Bombyx mori: one gene and its partner. The protein of the gene in region 2 purifies or fractionates together with the protein of the main gene of each other region. This does not show direct contact. Links are inferred from orthologs where the notes say so. Each region holds a gene or a part of one and is shown on either strand. Other genes may lie near its edges.

What was found.
Region 1: the proteins of cold shock domain-containing protein E1 (region 2) and serine-threonine kinase receptor-associated protein purify together in Homo sapiens (affinity purification with mass spectrometry; 3 studies listed by BioGRID and IntAct, counting the BioPlex papers as one, with this or other methods). This does not show direct contact. The link is inferred for Bombyx mori from reciprocal best matches to the Homo sapiens genes CSDE1 and STRAP.

What each region holds. Positions count from the first base shown.
Region 1 is NC_085123.1:9,316,323-9,328,347, reverse strand, and holds the start of serine-threonine kinase receptor-associated protein, read right to left. Parts: upstream 6,780-12,025; 5' UTR 6,555-6,779; coding exon 6,440-6,554; intron 6,270-6,439; exon of another isoform or gene 6,003-6,269; intron 5,262-6,002; exon of another isoform or gene 5,230-5,261; coding exon 5,095-5,229; intron 4,522-5,094; coding exon 4,363-4,521; intron 3,946-4,362; coding exon 3,824-3,945; intron 2,995-3,823; coding exon 2,913-2,994; intron 2,141-2,912; coding exon 1,973-2,140; intron 1,336-1,972; coding exon 1,142-1,335; 3' UTR 1,115-1,141; intron 243-1,114; 3' UTR 1-242. Other genes in the region: signal peptidase complex subunit 1, read left to right, coding at 6,997-7,278; GPI inositol-deacylase, read right to left, coding at 8,055-8,394, 8,703-8,804, 9,340-9,773, 10,001-10,154, 10,761-10,949, 11,573-11,794. UniProt on the Homo sapiens protein: The SMN complex catalyzes the assembly of small nuclear ribonucleoproteins (snRNPs), the building blocks of the spliceosome, and thereby plays an important role in the splicing of cellular pre-mRNAs.
Region 2 is NC_085107.1:6,379,818-6,391,278, reverse strand, and holds part of cold shock domain-containing protein E1, read right to left. Parts: coding exon 11,265-11,461; intron 11,170-11,264; coding exon 10,973-11,169; intron 10,905-10,972; coding exon 10,697-10,904; intron 10,611-10,696; coding exon 10,422-10,610; intron 8,736-10,421; coding exon 8,584-8,735; intron 7,767-8,583; coding exon 7,634-7,766; intron 6,593-7,633; coding exon 6,404-6,592; intron 5,652-6,403; coding exon 5,523-5,651; intron 2,429-5,522; coding exon 2,247-2,428; intron 1,070-2,246; coding exon 852-1,069; intron 1-851. UniProt on the Homo sapiens protein: RNA-binding protein involved in translationally coupled mRNA turnover.

The DNA of each region.
Region 1 (12,025 bases), on a different chromosome or scaffold from region 2:
AAGTCTATTTAGTTTCCTTTTTACAATAAATACATAAGTTTGAGTATAAAAAACAAGTGTTGCAATAAAATAAACAACACAAACACAGTTTAAAATGTTACGAACAGTTTGTAAAGTCTTGATTTGTTCACGCTACTTATCTTCACAAGTCCGTTATACACATGCTTTGGTGACTAAAACAACACATTGTTTTTACTTCACCAAATGCACAATTTTGATTGCACTGCTGATCACATGTAGCCCTGTTGACAATTTGGTAACTTTATTATTGTTGTTTTAACCCACTTCAAAAAAGTAAGTGACTTTCGATTCGACTTTTTGTTTGTGTATATATCTGAAATACATTCCGCCCTTAGAACTTTTTTCTAGATGGTTCTTTTTCCCTATGTGGTGCCATTTTTATTTTATAAAGATAGTAGAAGAAAGCAGTTTTTGACTTATCCATAATAATGGATATATTTTACTAAATGTTTGTATTTATTATAGATTTTTCGAAATCGAACAAAAATTCGCGGAATTTCGCAATACACGATATTTTGTAGATGTTTTTAAGATATATTTTGTGCAGAATAAGTTTCTCAAGTGTTAATCTGACAAAATACAATAATAGATACATTAGGGATATTGAAGTGACGCTCAAAGGCAATTATTCAGATCACTATTATATTTTAATATAGCTTTTTTTATTGCCTTATGGGTGGACGAGCTCACAGCCCACCTGGTGTTAGGTGGTTACTGGAGCCCATAGACATCTACAACGTAAATGCGCCACCCACCTCGAGATATAAATTCTAAGGTCTCAGTATATTTACAACGGCTGCTCCACCCTTCAAACCGAAACGCTGCTTCACGGCAGAAATAAGCAGGCTAGTAATTACCAGTAATTACGCAAATTTAGCATTTAAGAGTACTTTTTACAGCTCCAAAAAAAAATTTATGACAAGTCCTTCTTCAAACGAGTCTTGTGGAGAGTATTAAACGGTAGGTAGGGAATAGATCTGCCCCTGCATTGCTGATATCCATGAGCGACGGTACCCACTCACCACTATCAGATGGGCTGCATAAACTCGTATGCCTACGGGGAAAATACAAAAAAAGATAATTAAGATATGACCTGGCTAGTGGAGGGTTGGCACGCGTGTCAGTTGGCCGGCACCTCCTTGTACCCGTTAGCGAGGGGCACGGTCTCGTTGGCGCGGCGCCACAGCCCGTAGGCGCGGCCCGGCACCGCCTGCCACAGCCGCACCGTGCCGTCCTCCGAGCCGGACGCGTACAGCTCTCCGTCCGGGGACCATCGCACGCAGTGCACCGGACCGAAGTGACCCCTGTTCGACTCTGTTACAAACGTTTAGCTTTTTAATACGCTTTTATTAGCTTGAGTGTGCTTAGTGAGAGTTTTTTAAAGTTCTCGATAGCGTAAAAGTTAGCTCATATTTGTATGGAATGGGATCGTTTGCGTACGTTTACCGCTAGGGGCGCTGTTCCAACTACATACGAAATTGGGTTAACTTTTACGCTATCGAGAAGTACAAGTATCTGAAATACAAAATGTAATATAATACGTATTTTCATCTTGTAACTATAAAACTTTTTTTAATTCATTTTGTAACTTTCATTTTAAATAAGTTTTGTTTGATATTTTAGTATTTTGTAAATACTATTTTTGCTAAAATACTTTTAGTAATAGATAACTGATTCTTTGATGACATCTTAGGCGACATTATTTTTATACGTCATTGTCGCCGTAAATAAAACTGAACGCGCCATTGAAACTTTAGTCTGGGGCCAAATTGATAGATGGTCTGGCAATACTTTCCCCTTCTACAAAATATCGGCTATGGCGCTTGAGTCGTGTCATATATATTTTTTTTTTAAATATATTATTTATTTTGTATCACGTTTGTTCGATCAATGCGATTTACATGTAAAAAAATAAACTTTCATTTCAAAAATAAAAATTCAACCAACTAACCCAGTTCAGTTCCAGTATTGTAGTCATATTTGTAGACTTTTAGATCGTCTCCGCCGCACACGAAGGTCGCCCGGCTCGGAGCCAGCGACGCCGAATAGCACTTCGTTGGCACGGGGAACTCGCGTAGCTTGCGCATCGTGTCCGACGTATAAAACGATACGTTTGTACCTGGAAAAAAAAAACTAAATATTGTTACGCCTTTACGAGCAACGCCATCTATCGTCGATTAGTAGAAACGAATATCAAAAGAACCAATAAAACCTAGAACGCTCGTAAAGTACAACGCCATCTATTATCAAATGACGGAAACATACGTCGAAACTACTCGACTTGTCAAGAATGTTCTCGATAATTCTAGGGATGTCATATTGAGTATAAAAGCGTTGCAGAGATGCGAAGCGAAACAGTGAACGGATGAGCTAAAGCGATGCGGGAGCAGTAAATTAAGAATTTTAAAGTGTTCGTTAGTGTTCTAAGTCTTAATACAGTTACTATTTGTACTTCGGTAGAATTTTTATTTATCCCGAACCCCAGCGCGTAACAATATTAATTCGCCATATATTTTGCAGATGCCACACTAAAACCGAGTAGAGCCTTTTGATTTATCGAATCAATTATCGCATCGCATTCTGATGGTAGGCAGCGTTTCAGCTGTTATCTAATAGTTCTTGAAGTTTTCCATACCGCTAACACGCAAGCACTTTTGTGACGTCACAGTTGTGAGCGTTAAGATTTTTTTTCAATGGACACCATCTTACTGCTTACAGCATATTCTCTGTGTGTCATTTACTTTCACAAAAGTGAAAAAGGTTTTATCTCAAGTCATAAGATATTCGTTACAAATTTCTTAAACTGCATATTGCAGTTGTACAGAACCCAATTTTGTATTTTTTTTAAAACTTATACAACAATGTTATTTTACTAACAAAACAAAAAGTACCGTGTGCAACAGTCAATATGGCTCCATCCCTGGACAACTCTAGACTATTAGGGACCGACTGGAATTCAACCTTTTGGACTTCCTGAAAATGTTGAGAATATGACATTTTAAATTATCATCACAGAAAATGACATTATTTTATTTATATTATATTATTATTTTATTATATTATTTATGTTTAAGCTTCTCTTAAAAGTTATTTTAAATTTGATTTGTATGAAGACAACTTTTCGCTATATAAATGATGCTTTCACTATTGGCGTATTCTTTTGTAATAATTCTTGTTTCATGAACAGCCACATGACGTACTTCGTGTACTGATATATATAATATAAAGCTTTCGTAAGTTTAAAATTGGAGATACCACATTTTCAAATTACAAAATACTTCAATCTTTTCCAATATACTCTATTTTTCAGTAGCATTGTAAGTATGAAATTCTTCTCTTTATTTATTAATTCAAATATGTATTAACCATATTAAGTTTTATGGCGTTTGTTACCAACAAATACAAAGCCAGCTTAAAACCCCTCTGACCATAGGACTATTTTCGAAGTTGACTTGAAGAAGTACAATAAATATAACAATTATTATTATTTCGTTACAATTTTAGAATTTATATTTAAAAATATAAATACATAGATTGGTAGTATGATGTTTTAGCACTGAATGAGGATTTCAATGTCTTCCTAAAATATTTATAAAGGCTCTCACTTATTGTCTTATGTCACATATTTTACTTACTAAAAAATATAGTTGTTTTTATAGTTTATAGCAAAATAAGAAATTTATAGCAACACTGGCAATATAAAATTATCTTGATAAAACTGTCAAAAAATATTATGATCCTATACAAGTATGTACTGTAGTCTGTGATAGGACGATTCATAGTATACATTTCGATTACTCACTTCTCCACTGTTACGATCCCAAACGCGCATAGTATTGTCATCACTGACACTCACGATTCGAGAGTTATTCAGGAACACTGCGTGTCTTATGCTACTTGTATGTCCGTTTATTTTTTCGATTGCTGTGAAATATAAACATTATTATTTGTAGTAAAATTAATTAACCACCCGCCCACCAAGAACATTTATGCTAGGCAAGTAAGCAGGATTTTGATCGGACCACTATTGCTAATAAAAGGAGTGATCCACAATTGTCAAAAATATTTTGACTGTCATCAGTTAACAAAAGAAATCAACATAATTTTTCTATGAGATTAATATTAAAATTCAGACCACATATTGTAGGCTTTGATAATATATACCAGCCTTTTTTGCTGTATTCAGTTTGTCATATCTATGGTCTCCAGTAACTACGTAACAATAAAGCAATAATAAGATTATATAAAGAAATTTTAGTTCATAGTTACTATAGTGGTCTTAATTCATTCAAAAACTAGTCTAAACAGTAACATAAACCAAATTAAGCAACAATTACATACGTCCAGCTTCAAGCTTGTTGAGGTCAAAAACTCGTATAAGTTTCTCATTGCTAGCAGTCACCAACAATGTGTCATCGGCATTGAAATTGACACTTTTCACAATGTGTTCATGTTCAAAAGTGTGGACCATATCACCATATCGAGCATCCCACAATTTTGCTGTAAATATAAAATTTGATTTTAAGTAATTTGTAATAGTTATTTTAATCACTTTTTACTAAATTTACTATTTTGGGTTTTGTGACCAAAAATTATCATTAACTCAAAATCTACACACTCGAAATAGGTTAGGCATATTTTTAGTTATTTCAAATCGTGAAATCGGTCACATATCACAGAGTGGAATGGAAATTTAATATGAAAAAACTTTTTTATATTATTATATTTATTTCAAAAAATATGTATTTTGTTCAGCATTTTAGCTTCACAAAGCACTTTAAGTACATATCTAAGAAAATACTCAGAGCTTAAACATTTAATATTTTTGGCTTCTTTCATTACTATTTTAGTAAGTCAGTGGCTAAAGTAGACCATGGTATTTTGTGTAAATGACAAAAATATTATAACTTTAGATCATATTAATAAAACAAAAAATTCAAACCTATGAGATTAAAGTACAAAATAATCACTCACAGTGTGATATCCTTAATCTAATTAGTAGCTTATTTGAAGTGTACAGTTTCAGATTTACATTTCAATAAAAGCAGTTTAACTTACTTGTTTAATATTTACCTGTAAAATCGGCTGCCCCACTAGCAGCCAAGTTTGCATTTTGTGTAAGTGCCACACCCCAAACAGCACCCTTGTGACCTTCAAATGTTCCAATCCAGTCACCAGTTTCACCTTGTCGTAACATAGGCTTGCCATCTTAATAACAAAACATGCCATTACATTATAATCTGAATAAAAGCAAAACCAGAAATCATATTAATAAAATATGAGGAATAAACAACCTTGTTAACAGTGAAGATAGCTCATTTATGTAAATAATTAGACAAATTAAGCATTCATACATAAACTATGTTGATACATGAGATAGTATATAATGATAGTAAAAGACAATCATAGCTCATACATTGTTTAAAGCTCTTTGTAAATTAACTAGTTGCTATTACATTTTAGTTTTGTTATGTTTAAAAATATCTGGTTATTGCTTTTTTACAACTACTAAATTATTTTCAGTGTCCAGATTATAACTCATAATAAGTTTCTGTTGATATTATTTTAAAATTCTGATTTTGTATAAAAGAACACAAAACATGATAACAACTATTAATTATACAAGGAAATAAATAAACAATACTACACTACATAATAACAACATTCAAGTATGCTATTTCCTGATTTTTATACTTATTTACATATAAAAAAAAGATTAATTCATCAGAGATTAATGGAACTATTAAATCAGAACCAAAACAGGTAACAGCTAAAACCAAGGATATCATACAAACAAAACATGTAAGCCAAGACTTGAATATAATTAATTTCACATTAGCAATACAAGGAAGTGAAAATTATAATAATTATCATTTATTTCTGATTTTCATTATAATAAAATTTACAGATAAGTCATTGTGTTAGAGTATTATGTTGTCAGAACTCCCATATCATTATTAATAATGTCAAGTACAACAAACCTTGAGCTGGTACAAGGTGACCCAGAATAAGTGAAATGTCAACATTTAATTTAATACAGGAATAAACTTCCGAGCTCGCTCCAAATTTGTATGCATTCAAAGTTGAAAAACTTGTATGTCATGCACTAGCCTCTAGTACATGAATAAAAAGCACGACGCGGCCCAAGGCAAACTGGCGCCGAGGAAACACACAAGTGGATATTCAAGGTGCTTCCTGCATGTCCGGAAAGAGAAGGTCGCAACATGCATAGAATGCACGCCGGCCAAACCTACTGTTCAGAACAAAACAACTAAAGTGAAGGTCTCATAAACGTAGCACGACGCCCGACATTTGTCAACGTGAAACACACCCCACTAATATTAGAAAAAATTATGTTTCCTATATATGTCACGACTAAGGCAAAAGCACCCCAAACGAATAAACAATAAAAACTTACCTTTGCAGGCAGAAATCAAATAATATCCGTCTTTTGTAACGTCACTAAAATCCAAATGCACGACTGGTCTCGTGTGGCCACCGCATGTAAGAGGAACTTGTTTAAGCGTTGTCATTTTGTTAAATTAATTTTGATTGTTGTACTTTGGAAAAATAAAACTAAATTATCTTTTTGTAAAACTAAAATTAACCTAATGAGTCTGATCGTACTGAATGTTGACAATCGACTGACGGAAAGGAAAAAGCAGTATTACTAGAAAATATCTTAAAACTACTATCAACATAGCTTTGTTGCAAGCCATCTAAATTTTAAGATATGGCTAAAAGTTTTTTGATAAAATAAAATTTAGGAAGAACAAAAAAAATATTGGCTAATAAAAAGAAACGTTTAGAAATCAGTTTTATAATACTGGTAATATCTTTTATGACGACGTCAATTTAGTATTGACGTGTCTATTGCTTGACGTTTAATGTCAGACCGTTTAATTGGTTACTTCTGATAAGTTTCTTCAAAATAATTTGTTGTTGTGGCAAGTGATATTAATCTAATTTAGCAAGATGGATTTCTTTACATCTATACCAACCCACATAGATTACGTCGGACAAGCAAAAGCAGAGAAATTATACAGGGCAATAATTACATTGTTCAGTATAGTTGGTTTTGTATGGGGTTATATAGTTCAGCAATTCTCGCAGTCAGTGTATATTCTTGGTGCTGGATTTCTGCTTGCTGCCATTCTTACTGTTCCTCCATGGCCAATGTACCGACGCAATCCTCTGAACTGGCAGGTTCCTAAGAACGGTGATGACAAACCAGCAGCCAAGAAAGGAAAGAAGTGAAATTCATTATCTCAAAATTTGTCTGTACAACTTTTACTTCTCAAATATATCCAATAGTTAATAAGTTTTAATTTTGTTTTATTTACATAACTGTCAATCTTAGTTTACACACACTTAAACGCACTATTATAAAATATGTACCAAATTAATCTTTTGAACTTTTAAACTAGCTAAGAAATATATGCACGTACTACAAAAATAAACTCTTACTATTAAGGACAAATGTTTTAAAATGAAACTATTATTAGTTACTTAGATAGATGTGCTCACAGTCCAACTAGTGTGAAGTGGTTATGAGGCCCATAGGCATGAACAACATAAATTATGTCATACTTGAAACATGAGGTCTAAATGTTAGTGCTATAGAGCAATGGCTGCCTGATCCTTCAAATTAAAACACATTACTGCTTTACAGCAGAAATAAGGTTGTAGGAACTACCTATGTGGGCTAACAAGATGCCTTAACACCAATAATTACAAAAATTATCATTTTTACAGGTTCGGTTTGTATTTCCTTATTAGTATTTCAGTGTTGATGTCAATGTTATGAACAATGATAGGTATGAATATCCAAATTGGTACCTTAATGAAAGAAAACATTTTCTGTTTAAATCACATATATTCCTTATGCAAACCAAACATTTCAACAAAAATTTTACTTGTTTCCTATTTGTGACAAATTATGGCATTCATTGTTGCTCAATGTTTATCATTATTACAATCCTACAAATACTATTTATATAAATATTTCAAAAACAAAACAAGTACACAAGTTGTTACAAATTATCCATTGTAGTTAAATCAAATTTATCTTGAAGATTCTTAAAAGCATCAAATATTCTGTTCTCATTGCATGGATCACAATCATTCGTTTGAATATTATCAGCTTCTTCTTTTTGGTTTTCTTTTGGTTTTTCATCATTATCATTCTTGGATTCATTTGTACCTTCAATGGTAGAACTTTGAACATCTTCCTTATCACATACTTGTTGTAATGTAATAACGACAAATGTGAAAGTGATTCCATAGTTGACTATTGTGAGTGATAGGGGTCCCAAAGCTAATATAAATATAGCCATTGTAAATAGTAAAGATGAAACCGCTTCATAATGCTTCCTATAACAATATATAACAAAATGTTTAATTTTATGTGTGTATTGTGTGATTCATTTAGTTTTTATTACACAAGCAAAGTTATTAAGTACATAAATTAATGCGAGCTATAAACTTACATGATGAAATACACCTTATACCACTGTGTAAGGACTAAGATGAGACCATGTGTGTTTCAAAATTACACTATTAACTTGAAATATGTATATGTAAAAGCAAAGAATGACCTTGGGATCATAACAAATAAAAGGAAAATACTAGAAATTAATTTCTTGCAATTTTTTTGACTGTAAAATAGTTCTCACACTTACAAATTTCTTCTGGGACCATTGATTTGCCAGATACAACTGGAACAAACTGACATGACTAGACCAGTGTGATATGACGTATCTGGTTTTAGTACCATGGAATACCTGTTGTAATAATTTTATTTAGTTAGTTAAATTTCATCATTTGGTCTGAGCACACTCGGGATCTTGCCTTCATCAATACATATAAAAAAAATGTAATCTGGTGTCTGTACATTGAATAGAGGTAAAAAAAATACAAATGGGATTAACAACATAACAGTAATAGAAAATCACTATTTTAGGAGTTTCATTATTTTGTTTTGTTCACAACATCTGAACAACTGAATTAATTTTCATATAGTCATCACAGGTAGTTATTAATTTGGCTAAGTTTCATTAAAATTGGATGTACTAAAAAAATTAGTATCATTTAAAAAAAAATCGATATCACTTTTTTACCGAAAGAATTGGTCTGAACCCTGGAAAAGAATATAGACTGCCTTTGATCGTACTGCTGAACACGGGTCTCCGCCTATACAAAATACTACGGTAAACGAAGATGCAAACGGGGCGCAAATAATTTAAATATTTTTTCTCTATACTTTTTTTTACATTGTGACATACCATAATACTGATCATGACGTCAATTTAAACTTACTTAAAGTTTCGCGCCCATGTTAATAATGCTGGAACATTGACTAGAGTTACTGTGATCCACATGAAAAACAACATCATGTGGAAGTTAATGCTATTAAAATCCTCGTCCAAGTCTTTGCTTTCACCTTTAATACTGCCTTCTTTGGGCTTTCGTTCGCTTTCTTTATTCGCAGAAACTAAAGCACAGTCTGTGTTTGAAGAACCGTCTTGTCCTACATTGTTCGTTGAATCCTTATCATTACCTTCAATTTCGTCAATTTCTTTAGATCTGAGATTACTTTCCTTTGCATCCGATAAAGCTTTTGAAATCAAATTGGTTTCAGATTTTTCATATTTGTTTCTTGTCGAGTTGAACATACGACAGACTTTAGAAGCTAGCTTTGCCATTATTTTGTAAACGTAATCTTCTAAATATTCTTCATACATTTTCGAGAGCTGTAAAAGTTAATACAGAATTATTAATTAATTTACGGTAGGCAGCGGCTTGGCTCTGCCCCTGGCATTGCTGAAGTTCATGGGCGACGATAACCACTCACCATCAGGTGGGCCGTATGCTCGTCTGCCTACAAGGGCAATTTTTTTTTTTTGCGATATTTAGTGACGTTTGCTAGATTTTAATAGTCATAAACAATGATAAATTCATTATATTGATCATCACTAACCATAAATGCATAAAATGCGGCACCGGCAGCCAATGAAGCTGCTCCGCATGATAAAGGAACCGCACAAACTAGCGCTGCACTCACGATCATGGGGAGCTTGTGCAATCCGGTGGCCATTTTCTCTGCTAAACTACCACCGCCTCGCCATACTATTCTGAAGCAAAAAAAAGACTATTCAAATGATAGATTCACTTTTACAAAATATGTCAGGCTGACTTATTGTATACTAGCTGACCCGGCACATTTGTGGAGAGTATTAAGCGATAGGCAGCGGCTTGGCTCTGCCCCTGGCATTGCTGAAGTCCATGGGCGACGGTAACCACTCACCATCAGGTGGGCCGTACGCTCGTCTGCCTGCAAGGGCAATAAAAAAAAAACAAAAAAAGAAAAGACTTTGTTGTGCCTCAATCGATAAATAAAAAACCTAAACTTTTGTATAATAATCTTAAAACAAACAAAAGGAAGCCGTCCGACGGGGGACACATCAAAAGAAAAACAAAATTGTTATTTTTATTTAATTCAGAGCATTTTTATATTTATCTAATCTTTTAAACCTTCTCTGGACTTCCACAAATAATTCAAGACCAAAATTAGCCAAATCGGTCCAGCCGTTCTCGAGTTTTAGCGAGACTAACGAACAGCAATTCATTTATATATATATATATATATATATAGACTCTTAATACTCCAAAGATGTAATATTAGCTTTGTGGTGACGATAGTATATTTTTAGAAAATAATCATAAATCAAAGTACTTACTTAAACAGTAATCTATGCGCTATCTGTGATGAAAACACCATTGCACCCATTATAGCAGCAGCTACAATATTGACAATCCCTAATGCTGTCATATAAGCTGGCAACACTAACAGGGATTTGATAAAATACTGCAATTCGAGATCCCTCCAGCTTGCGCTTTCGAACATAAATGAGAACAGCGGAATCGCCCTGAAATAATACAATAAAAAGAGAATAAAACAGGCTTAAAATGAAGAGTGGCTGATGTTATATTTTTATATTCTATAGAATGATGCACGACGCTATGATCGTCGTTATGTTTTGTGTGCAAAAGAATGCAATGAGTTCCCAGTTGTCCCAAAAGTTTGTTAAATGATTATGAGCAAGTTGAAACAGCTGAACGTATTGAGCTTTTATTTTCGGCCATTAATCATAAATTCACCGCCCTATAGACATCACAACATAATGTGACCGCCTACTGAAAGATATGACGTCGAATGTATAATTTTTTTTAACAATAACGGCTACGGAATGAGCTCCCCTCCACGGTGTTTACCGAGCGCTATGACATGTTCTTCTTCAAAAGAGGCTCGTGGAGAGTAATAAGCGGTAGGCAGCGGCTTTGGCTCTGCCCCTGGCATTGCTGAAGTCCATGGGCGACGGTAACCACTCACCATCAGGTGGGCCGTATGCTCGTCTGCCGACAATGCCAATAATAAAAAAACAACTATCGTAGCCTTCAATCAAATACATATTATGAAGATCCGTTACATTTTGGTTTCTAACAGAACCGGCTCATCTGCAAAAATTCTTCAAACCGAAAAGTTACTTACAAAAAAATCTTAGTTGCTAATCTTGAAAACACGAGACAATAATAGGGTTTGACGCCTTCGCTCATTAAAGCTCCATGAATGGTCAAGCATGATCCAGATTCTTGAAAGTTCATAATAATACTTCTGGCAGCTAATAACACTATGGCGGCTACATACGGAATAAGTACTGGACCGTAATTTCGAGTAAACTGAGCGAGGCGATTGTACCACGATGACGATATACTGTATGATGAATAAAAAATAAATTTAGCATTAATGAAAAACAAAAAAATATTTTTGTCAAATTAAAAATAGAATTTCAAATATTGAAACATAGATTAAGAAGTAAACATTTCTATTAAAAAACCCAGACACATATCGATATAGTATTCAGTTACGTTTATAAAACTCACCCTGGAAATAAGTTAAAAAATATTCGTGTGGAATACAGAAAGAAGACTTCTGTTCTAATTT
Region 2 (11,461 bases):
CTAGAAAGGCCTCCGAGCCACCAGTAACCTCTCAAACATAAAAAAATACTCCGGACACCCCGTTGAGTCAGAACAGCGTGGGTCGAGGAGTTTACTCTTTCGTGAGCCGGTTGCTCTGTTGAAAAACACGGGTAGAACAATTGCATGTCATCTACAATGCCAAACTGGCCAGCGGGAAAAACTATAAATAAACCCTCAGGGGGCGGGATGCAGAAGACATTCCTATCATAGCTCTCTTACCTATTTTGACAATTTCTAATTTGTAAAGTTAAGTAAAATTGTTAACGAGACAAAAGTTAAATGAATTAAAAGATTAAATTTTGTTATCAGCACAATGCACAACTGTTAATACTTATATAATAATTTAATTATTTTTCAATTCAATCGATTAAATAAGCAATCTCTCTAAGTGACGCGACAACACTATTACTAGCACAATTATTGTGTAACTAAAGCGGGTACGTCCAGAACCAAGGATCAATAAGATCAAGAGTGCATGATAAGCTAACAAGCTGAATTCATCAATGAATCTCAATTTTTTTATCCAGTGAACCAAAGCAATAACTCCTCATTTTTACTTTGCAGTCAACGTATATCTCTCTCTCTCTTCAATCGGTCCCTCGTTGCTGAGGATCGTGACTCAGTTTGATTCCGTAAACTAGCTGTCTCCATCGATCCCGTTCTCTAGCTTGGTGGAGAGCGTCGCTAACAGGTATTTTTAGTTCCTCCGCTATTTAGTCTGACCATCATTCGGGACCTCTACCCCTAGGCCTTTTTCCCTCGACTAGGGTTGTAAATACAACTATAATTTTTCGTGGGTTTTCCAGACTTCAATACTAAAATTTGCTTACCGGAATATTGGGCTTGATCAGGGTTCAGAGCCCGTAAGGTTCTCGTCACAGTTCCATTTAGAGTTGGTTCTAGCGGCTTCGCAATAGGTATAGTACCTCGAGCCAAAACACGGACGTATTCAGCGCTTGCACAGCCCCCGCCAGAGCCGTTCAGGCGACCCAAACTATACTCGACTTCGATGCCCAATTCCAAATTTTCCGGGCTACCTTCCAAATTACTGAAATTTAAGATTAACAAGTTTAGTGAATTTCGTATACTCAAATTTCTTAAATATATTACAACATCTCAGCGCCAGGCTTAAATAAAATAATATTCGCATTATATATGCGTTTTGTTTGTTAAATATTCGCTTGTGTATTTTTTCTATCAACAAAGAGATTTTGGTGAACTCATTGTATGCCTATTGGTACCAATCAAAAAGTTATCAACAATCCATCATAATGGGAATTACTATATGAATTTTTTATAAAAACAAAATTGAAGTTTACAATCTATTTAAGAAGAAGAAAGGACAGTTTTAATAATTCTTTCTTTTTTTGCTACTTTTGATATGAATCTTGTTTAATTTGAAAAAAATAAAATAATCTGCAAAGCATAACAACACATTTCATATTTAATACAGTACTTACTTGCAATCCTTTACGATTGCGAAAAATACACCATTAATACAATCGCTTCGCTGCTTATGCAATAAAAGCGCTATAGACTAGAACTATAAATAAACGCACTTTACAAAGGGGGCGATAAACCCGCTTTAGATAGCATTAGTTACGTTCAGCGGCGCTGAATAAAATAAATTGAAAATATCGTTCACAAAGGGATAGAAAGAAAAAGGTAAAAGCAACGTATTATAAGCGTGTTCATTTTTTACATACTATAATAAGAGGTACGTTGATACTGAGCAAAATAATTTTAATACATGCAAACAAAATGAGTAAAGCAAATTATTTTTAAATATAAAAAAAAATATCTACTTATATACATTTCGCAGTGCAAGTGAAATGATTCGTTGATTTTCAAGTAATGAATTTTCTTTCATTTTCTAAGCCAATTTTCATACGTTTTTCATCTTTTTTTTTCATTAAGAAGATCGCTGTGTAAGTGTTGAGCTCATCTGGTATTAAGTAGTTATTGCGGCCGATAACCATCATAACGTGAACGTTGTGAACTACCTTGAGACATGAAGTTTATGAATACTGCCACCCACGATGAGATATGAGGTTTAAGTCCCAATTTTATTGTAAAACAGTTACCACTCGCTCCAAGCCGAAACTAGGACACCCTACCACCAGTTTCATGAAAATAATCTATTAAAAAAATAGATTGATTGGACGTATTTTTTGTAATCATCAGCAAATAGAAAAAAATCAAGGTTTAATATCAATATTACGCACCTGAAGTGGAAAAACACTTCTTTGGTGTGATCTGATGTTTCAATAAAACCAAATCCATCTTTCAGAGCAGCTATGAAACCTTGCATGATGGGACGGCTGCCGTTTCCATTACTCGAGTTGCCGTTTGTAAGACTGTGTTGGACTTGTACTGACATCGCTACAAGCTCCTTTGTGCGTTTAACCTGTGGAATTATTTATAAATATTATGTTTCCGCTTATTTTGTTTTCCATATATTCATTACACTACAACAAAGCATTGATTAATGGGAATTTCAACGAAACCGTTACATGTAAAACTAAGCAATAATAATAATAATAATAGTTTCTCAAGTAATATAAAAAATATAACGCGGGTACTTCGTAGAAGATTCTCAAAAAAAAGGCAAAGAAAAAGATATAGAATAAACTATTTAGCAATTGTAGAGTATGATAGCCCACAAAGTAACACGTGCATTAAACCTATCTCCATCATACGCTCAATATTCCTGAGCATTATCACCAGAGCGCAAGTATACGCTCAAATTTTCTAGAGATTTCCCTACGAAAGAAGTCTAAAACGTTATATCATTTGGATCAAAAGAAACTTAATTTTCAATGTGACAACTGTGAAGTGACTTTATGCATTAAATATTTCGACAAAACAAATACATATCCAATGTTAGCAATTTTGTTGTTAAGAGATAAAGTTTTTTCGTAATTTATATATAACACAAATTAAATGTGTTTTTACGTGTTTATTTTTTTACATTACGTTTAATTATAATGTAAACGTGCACATTCCTCAACATTTCTGGTATGTTGTTTAAAAAAAACTGCAACAAGTACTTTTGAGAGTCCTCTCTTGATGTAGATCTGGCACTATAATGAATTCTGAAGAGACCAAAACAAATAAAAATCTGAGGGTGAATAATTATGGCAATATGTTAGAATCATTAACACTACCCAAACAAGCTTACTCAATATTTAATGAGTGGCCAAAGTTGTGTGTAGTTTCACGTTTTTTTCACGACACCCTTTGTGTTAACCAATTCCGGCTACTTTTATTTTTTAATTAACTTGTTCGAGTCCTTTCAGCTTTTAACAGTAGTAATCTGAATCGACGATTTTGCCCGGCAGTTAAAGCTCAAATTAACGATGCCCTTACAATCCAAGCATACGCGAGCATCATCTTACTGCGAATTAATCCGGGTTTCGCTAGTTTGGAGCTTAACTGCTCTTTGACAGCTTTTTAGCACGTTACGTGTAGTCCTGTTTCAGACAATCTTCTATTGACCACTATCAATGAATTTTTTTTTAAGCGGTTCAGTTTCATTACTTTCAAAAAGAGAATAAAAAACGATTCATAAGTTTATTCTCGCTCGTGTATAATACCGACGTTTTTCTCTATAGGCAAACTCCTTTTCAAAACTGTTTTGTAGTGAGCCTCTAACCCCTCTAGCCACTCAGTTATATCGTCCTATCACTAACAAGCCGACCTTGCTCCACTTTTTCAAAGAATGGCATCGACTTTGCCCCGATACAGGTCGACCAGAGCAAGCTTCATGTTTGACGTAAAAATTCCTGGACTTGGCTTGAACCAATTTTATGCTAGTCTTAATGACACTTCGATAAGTTTATAAAACGTCACTTTTTCTGTAAGTTAACTTCAAAATATATCGCAACTTCTTCGTCAGATCCGCTTATTTTCGACAGAAAATCAATATAAAAATGGAGGTAAACCGTTTCCACAAAAAAAAATTAATGTCATCTATTCAATGGTATAAAAACTAGTCAGATACAAATAGTATAACCAAAGACATTTTACTGTGATTTATTATTACTTATAAATTCGAAAAAACTTAATCACTTTGGCAAGGTTTATTTTCGCTTATAATGCAAATGGATTTAGGGTCAAATGAAAACATATGTATCACAGAGAATAATGCAATGACCACATAATAACCAACTTCGATTTTATACTAATTTACATTTTTCGAATTGCTGTCATTTTCAATGTAACGTTGCGATTTTCTTTAATACCTGTTTATCCTTTAAGGCCCAGAAAGACCTTACACTAAGAAGTATATTAAGCTATTAAGACCTGACCAATAGCCTAATAACACCTCCAGAGGTGCGACCACATTTGTCCTAAGAGAAGTCCAGTCACTCATTTATAAAATTCTTCCAGCATTTGACGGCCTCCTGCTACTAGAGACCGAACAAAAGTCAAAAATACGGGAGAACCTATCAAACTCTTGTTTCTCAAAATCATCACGCGTACTTTACAACACTGTCAGCTCGTAAACGACGATACCAATCCTTTTTAAAAAGTCCTCAATAAAATTTTAGTAATTTAGTAATTTATAAACTTGTGCTTCGAAAATACACTGATAGAATCTACTGCCGTACAATCACAGTATAACAAACTACGGAGCACTTCAGATCTGTTTCTATGACAAGTCATTCTAGAAACTTCGACCCCTATATCTCAATACGAAATTTACTTCGATACCAGACTACCGCTTACCGTTAGAAACGCACACATCTCTGACCTAATAATATTCGGTTACCTATTATTAGGTGCTGTCTGCTCGTCGACTGAAGTAAAGCATCTAACGCGTAAACAGTCTTTAGGTACCACAAGCACCGGTCACCGTCCTCGTCGAACCCGTCGCTTGCGACGAAGGGCTCGACGAGCAAATTAACCCACAGACACAGCCCACTGAGTTTCTCGCCGGATCTTCTCAGTGGATCGCGTTTCCGATCCGGTGGTAGATTCTGCGAAGCACTGCTCTTGCTAGGGCCAGTGTTAGCAACAGTCCGGTTTGAGCCCGGTGAGCTCACCTACACGTTAGGGCGAAGCTGAAATAGCCTCTCAAAGCTATCAGCATAGGTAGGAAAAAAAAGTAAACAGTCCTGTTTGAATTCCTTCTGCAATTCAGTACTTCTAACTGTTACAAACTTAATATTCTAATTTAATTCAAAATTAGAAATGGAGTGATGAAAAGTGTTTATGGTCCACCTGTTATTTAGGTATTTACAAAGGATAAGTATCACAAATAAAAAACCTTCCCACCTTGGGACATGGGACATCCTCAAGATTTTTGTAATAAGAAAATCCTATCATTTATATTCAGATGTAAACTACCCTCTCATTTGAAAACCCTCACTTCTATCACGTGCGTGTTTTTTTTTCACTTCATTTTCATTTAGGAACAACTTGTTCATTTATTACATTCGCAAAGCAGTTATGTAGCAATAGCCGCACTGCACTGGCAAAATTAAAATATACATTACCTGGTATAAGTCGAAGGTGACCTTGTCTCCAACACGGGGTAGCATTTTTGATTCGCATTTTTTGGCCATAAAAGGCAGAGATTTCTTAGTCTGATTAATCTGACAAGAGATTAGTCCATTTGTATCCGGCTGAAGGAAAAAGCTTTGTTTATTATTTACGTATAATAAAAGAAGCAATTCATTAATTACATCTTGGTATATTTTAATGGACTTTAATAGACCGCATTAGTTACTACCGTCGTTTATCAATCTAAAAATTGAACAGTAGAATAACATTTAAATATTTCATACCAAATCATAGTCAATTTGTCTAGTTTCCAATACTGCGTCTTTCGTCTATGATGACAAAAACAATTTTGTATAAATAAAACTTAACATGGCAATATAGGTAAAATATATACGTACGTACATTCCACATACCGCAGTCCCAAGCTATGTTTTTCTCCCGGGTTATTAGCACTGATGCACACTTGACAAATAAAGCCAGACCAGAACTCAACCATCAGCAAAAGATGTTAACTTCGATCGGGAATAGAATCCACGCCCCTTGTTACAATAGACCCATCTGCTCTCTAATAAACAATCCGACGTGACGATATAACGGACTAAGAAGGCGCTATCAGCATCGAACGTTGTTATCGCCATTGAAGTTTGAATGCAAATTTGGCACATTTAATACCTTTTTTGCGTTATGCTACTTAAAAAGCCTCATGAGCGACTATCACCTCCTATACTACGGGTGATTTATAAATAACTTATGTGAGTCGTATTATGTCTCAAGCACACTATAAAGAAGTCCAATCTTGCCTCAAAAATACCTCATACGCGTTGCCTGAAAATTCCTCAAAAATTATCCCGCGGTTAGGGCGTTAAGAACTTACTGGAGGCTGTCGGGTCGGACTGCCGGTGTTGTTGTACACTTGAGCTTCCTTGGTCACAACACCTCTGACGCCGCGCTCGATCAGAGTCTCGAACTGAACCGTGCCCGGCGAGAGATGCTTGATGCGAATAGCTGATTGCCGCGTGTTCATGTTCGAGAATGTCGATAAATGGTCAACGGTAAACTCCACCTGCGGAATACTTTAAATTTGCACCCGGATTCAAGGTTTAATTTCCATGGTAATTTGTTTGTAACTGTGAGAGCAGAGTATCTAGCTTAACAAGTATGTTCAGTTGACATACAGAGTATACGAAAATTCGACTAAATCTCCTCGCGCCGTCAGTACTTTTTCATGATTCAGTAACTGTATCTACGATTACCTGGTTGTTCCTCGTTGAATAAATTAAAATCAACAAAATTTACCCTTGCTTAATTACTTGCACTACAAGTAATTATGAACTTACACCACTTTATCCATTACTAGCCAAGAAGGTCCGGTTTGAAGGGTGAGAAGATAGTTTTACATAACGGTTATGATTTTAACTCCAGTCACCGTCCCAAATTAACCCAGACACAGCCCACTGAGTTTCTCGCCGGATCTTCTCAGCGGGTCGCGTTTCTGATCTGGTGGTAAATTCTGCGAAACACTGCTCTTGCTAAGACCAGTGTTAGTCACACTTCCGGTTTGAGCCCCGAGAGCTCACCTACATTAGGGTGAAACTGAAATAGCCTCTCAGCTGATAGCCTTGAGAGGTTATTTCAGCTTCACCATAAGCAGGAAAAAAAAGAGAAAAAGAAAATTAACTTCGTGTCTAACATCATATACATTTAACATAAGTAGCGAGCGGCATTCATGTTGTCATTTACTCTAATTCCCGGTGAACACTAAATGTAGGCCGTTAACTACTCCGCACATCAAGACTTATAAATATTATGTCAATATAACAACTTAATTAAAAAAATAAACAAACACTAACGTGTTTTTATAACAAGACTAATTGAGTAATTGAGACTTAATGTGTGTGTCAGCATTCACTATTCAATAACAAAAGCGTTACGTATATTTACAATTTATTCTATTTGATCACAACATGATTTTAACGTACGTAAAATGAGCATTGTAAGCAGTATCTTAGAAGCGCTAATGTTCTCTTTTAAAAGTACTATATTGAAAATACAGTTCCACAATCCGGACCAATTTTACTATAGTACTCTTTGGAGACATATTTACCTCATCTCCAACGGTGAGATCTTGTCCTAAGCGAAGAACCTCGGCGAAATGAAAGAACATAGTCTGTTCTCTTTCCACGCAACGGATGAATCCGAACCCTTCCCGCAGAGAGCACACGAGGCCTTGCTCCCGCCTGTTACAATCACTTATGCAATTATCAAACGGGTCAAGGTTAAACTATATTACGTAAAAGTATTGAACACATTTTATTGTAGTGTATTTCAGATAAATTCATCAATTTAGCTGACTAATTTCCTTTTCTTACACTAGATCGATGAACTAGTTCATGGCCCCGGCTGATGTTAAGCGTTTTGCGGAGCCAGTAAATATCGTAACGTGAATGTTACCTTCCATCTTCTCACATGAGACGGAAGTATCTTGTAGAATGTATTATTTAAATAAAAGTAGATTTAAGTTTAAGATATTAGTGGTGGTGGTGGTGGGATAAATGTTTGGCTCGTTCGGGAACCAGTCTTGCTAATGTCGGCCATAAAAAAATCATTATTTCCGACTATAAGTGTAAAGATAGCCACTATTTCAATGCAAATGAGACTTGAACCTCATTTCTCGTTATATACGGCAAGATTAACACTGCAGGGTCTGAGCTTCGGTTGCCGCTTAATTCGCTGATTCGCTTATCAAGTACAAACAAACGCCAGTAAAAAAAAAAACAATTTACAATTTTTTTCTTGAACATTAGTTCATAATTGAATACCTAGCTATTACTCCGGCTGGCGTGAGTTGTATACATTATTATATTACACTGCACTACAGATAATATACATATCAATGAAAATGAGGTTTTATTATTCAAATATTTACTATAGTTTTTGTAGGTATTTTGTAGGATTCCCAAATTCGAAAATTTCTCCTTGACTTAGCTCAATGCATATCTCATTGTTTGCTAAATTTAATTTAAACGAACAATGGTTTCGACGTATACGACTCACCGTTCGCCAGATACATAAAAAGATTCATCGAGGAGAGAAATATTAGTGGCGCGCTTGAGCTGATCACGACGATCGGTTGCAACTTGAAACTGCACCCAATCTCCGTGTCGGAGCGTAAACTCACCACACTGGTCTTTATCTCCAAAGGGGACCTGGTAAGAATAGTTTAAATGGTAATTTTTATAAGAAGGTACCATACAGTTTTTTTTATTGCTTAGATGTGTGGACGAGCTCACAGCTCACCTGGTGTTAAGTGGTTACTGGAACCCATAGACATCTACAACGCAAATGCGCCACCCACCTTGAGATATAAGTTCTAAGGTCTCAAGTACAGTTACAACGGCTGCCCCACCCTTCAAACCGAAACGCATTACTGCTTCACGGCAGAAATAAGCAGGGCGCTGGTACCTATCCGCGCGGACTCACAAATTTTATATTGCTATCGAAATCAGACGCGCTTACGCCTCACCTGTTCAAGATTAGTTCACCGTCATAAACTGGCAAGCTAATTCCGAGAACTTTTTTGATGACTCTAGCATTCTATCTTGCCAATGCACACGTCCGCAACGTATTGCAAAATTACGCCAAAGCACATCACAAAAAGAGTCGTATTGTAAATTCGAACATAGTACGTTAGAAGAAGGGTCACAACATTTTGTTCAAATGAATGAGCTTTGTAGTGTGTACATTGCAAGCACATGGTTCCGATAAAAAGCTGTGTTAGTAAATCTATCGGGAAATAAATAAATAAAGAAATGAATCATGATAAAAAAAGATAATGTTCGTAATATTTATATTTACAAATTTTATCATCATCTAATGTTGCAAATTAATTATTGCTAATGTTGGGACGAATTTTTACTTTTACTATTCAGTCATAAAAAATCGAAATACAGTAATGTTATGTTTCTCATACTTAACCTCTACTATTGTCCCTAACCTTATACTGAACACTTGTACTAGAGAGTAAGTTAAATCCGACGTTTTTAGCCGCGAATAAGTCACGGATTTCGGTGTGAAATATAAAAATAAATAATGAGGGATGCACAAGACACCTGGGCCCCAAACTAGAATATCCTTTATTGAAACTGATACATACTTATGTATATAAAATATAAATACATGGGATAATCGTTAAACAATACAAATGAGACGAACCTCATGTCTTTAGTGACAGTAATCACCCTTATAATATATATGAGCTCCGATAACTACAATACATAACACGAGGTGATCTGTGAGCTCGTGTATCCAACCATCTAGTTCAAGAAATGAATAAAGAACTGCTTTTTTCTTATGATGTTTGTGTGTAAACGTCATAACCCCATTCTGTACCCATTTCAATATAAAATAGACCGTTTAAATTTCATTTACATAGCTTATATAACCTTCGAATAAATTGGCTCTAACAAGAGACAATATAAAATGTTCCAAAAGAAGTATTGTTAAGTGTACCAAAAGAAAAAGGGTTCCAAAGAAAACGAGAAAGACGCACTGAAAAGGTGACCTAATTGAAGTTTGAATTGCCCATACATAAAAGCAGGCAGGTCATATAACTATGTGTTTTGAAATGCTGAGGAGAGGGTAATGTATATAGAAAAATGATTTTATAGGGCAGCATTTAAAAAAAACTCTTTGTACAATTATAACAAGTCCTTGAATAGATGTTAATATGTATACACAATTCCTACTTATATCTCATAGTTATTATTCTATTATCTATTTATTATTTATCTATTACTTCTACTTATATCTCATATCAAGTTTCTACTTATAGACTAATTATAGATATATTAATATGAATCATAACTTATTTGCAAATAACCAAACAAATGTACCTCAACTTCAGAATGATCTGCAGCACGGTATCGGATGCGCCCAGGGAGAGGATCGTTCTGTGTTGCACGCACCAAGTTACCGCGTTCCAAAGGCTTCAACACCTGACCACGCATTATTTCAGGACTTACATCTTCAAACACAACTGAACCACTTGGTAACTTAGTAATGTTACATGCCACTTCTTTGCCCTATGAAGAACACAAAGTTATAAATATCTGAATACGTCAAAGTCTAATTATAGGATCGTTATTGTTCTACAAAGTAATGTACTTACATTTCTAGTTTGTATAATAAACTCGACATCATCACCGAGAGTCAATTCTTCTTTACATTTAGTTTCAGAAAAATGAAAGAATATCTCTTTTACAACATCGGCACGTTCAATAAAACCAAAATTTTCTTTCATGGAGCAGACAACTCCATGATATTTAACTGGATGTACGGGGTTCTCAAAACGTATATGACAAGCACCTAATGTTCCTCTGAAATTGCAAAAAACATTATTTTCTGTCTGTAACCTAAAATATACTTTTTCGTCTATAAAAATTACCTTTGATTAGTTGCAATTTGAAAGCTGACAGCATCTCCAGTGCGTAAAGTGACATTCCCTTCAACATCATCTTTTGTATAGGGCAAGAAGAAACATTCTCCACGAGTTTCATAGGATATTCTACCTGTATTATCACCAGATCCTTCACCTTTTACTTCTGTTGTTACAGTGCCTGTGACTCTAGCTTCGCTTAATACCTTATTATGTAAAACATAACATTATATAAATTTGTTGGTGATATTATAATTCAAAATAATAGAAATTATTAATATTCATCTGAAAATAAACTCACCACTTCCGGTGCAATTTTAGTGACTGTTGATGCAATTGGTTTGCCTGTTCGACGATCATAAGTCATTTCAAATTCCACAGGGTCACCTATTTTAAGATGTTCAGTATTACCACTGAACTGACTGAAGTGGAAAAAAAGACGGGCTTGCCTCTCACAGCATTGTATGAAACCATAAGAATGGAGAAGTTTTTCAATAA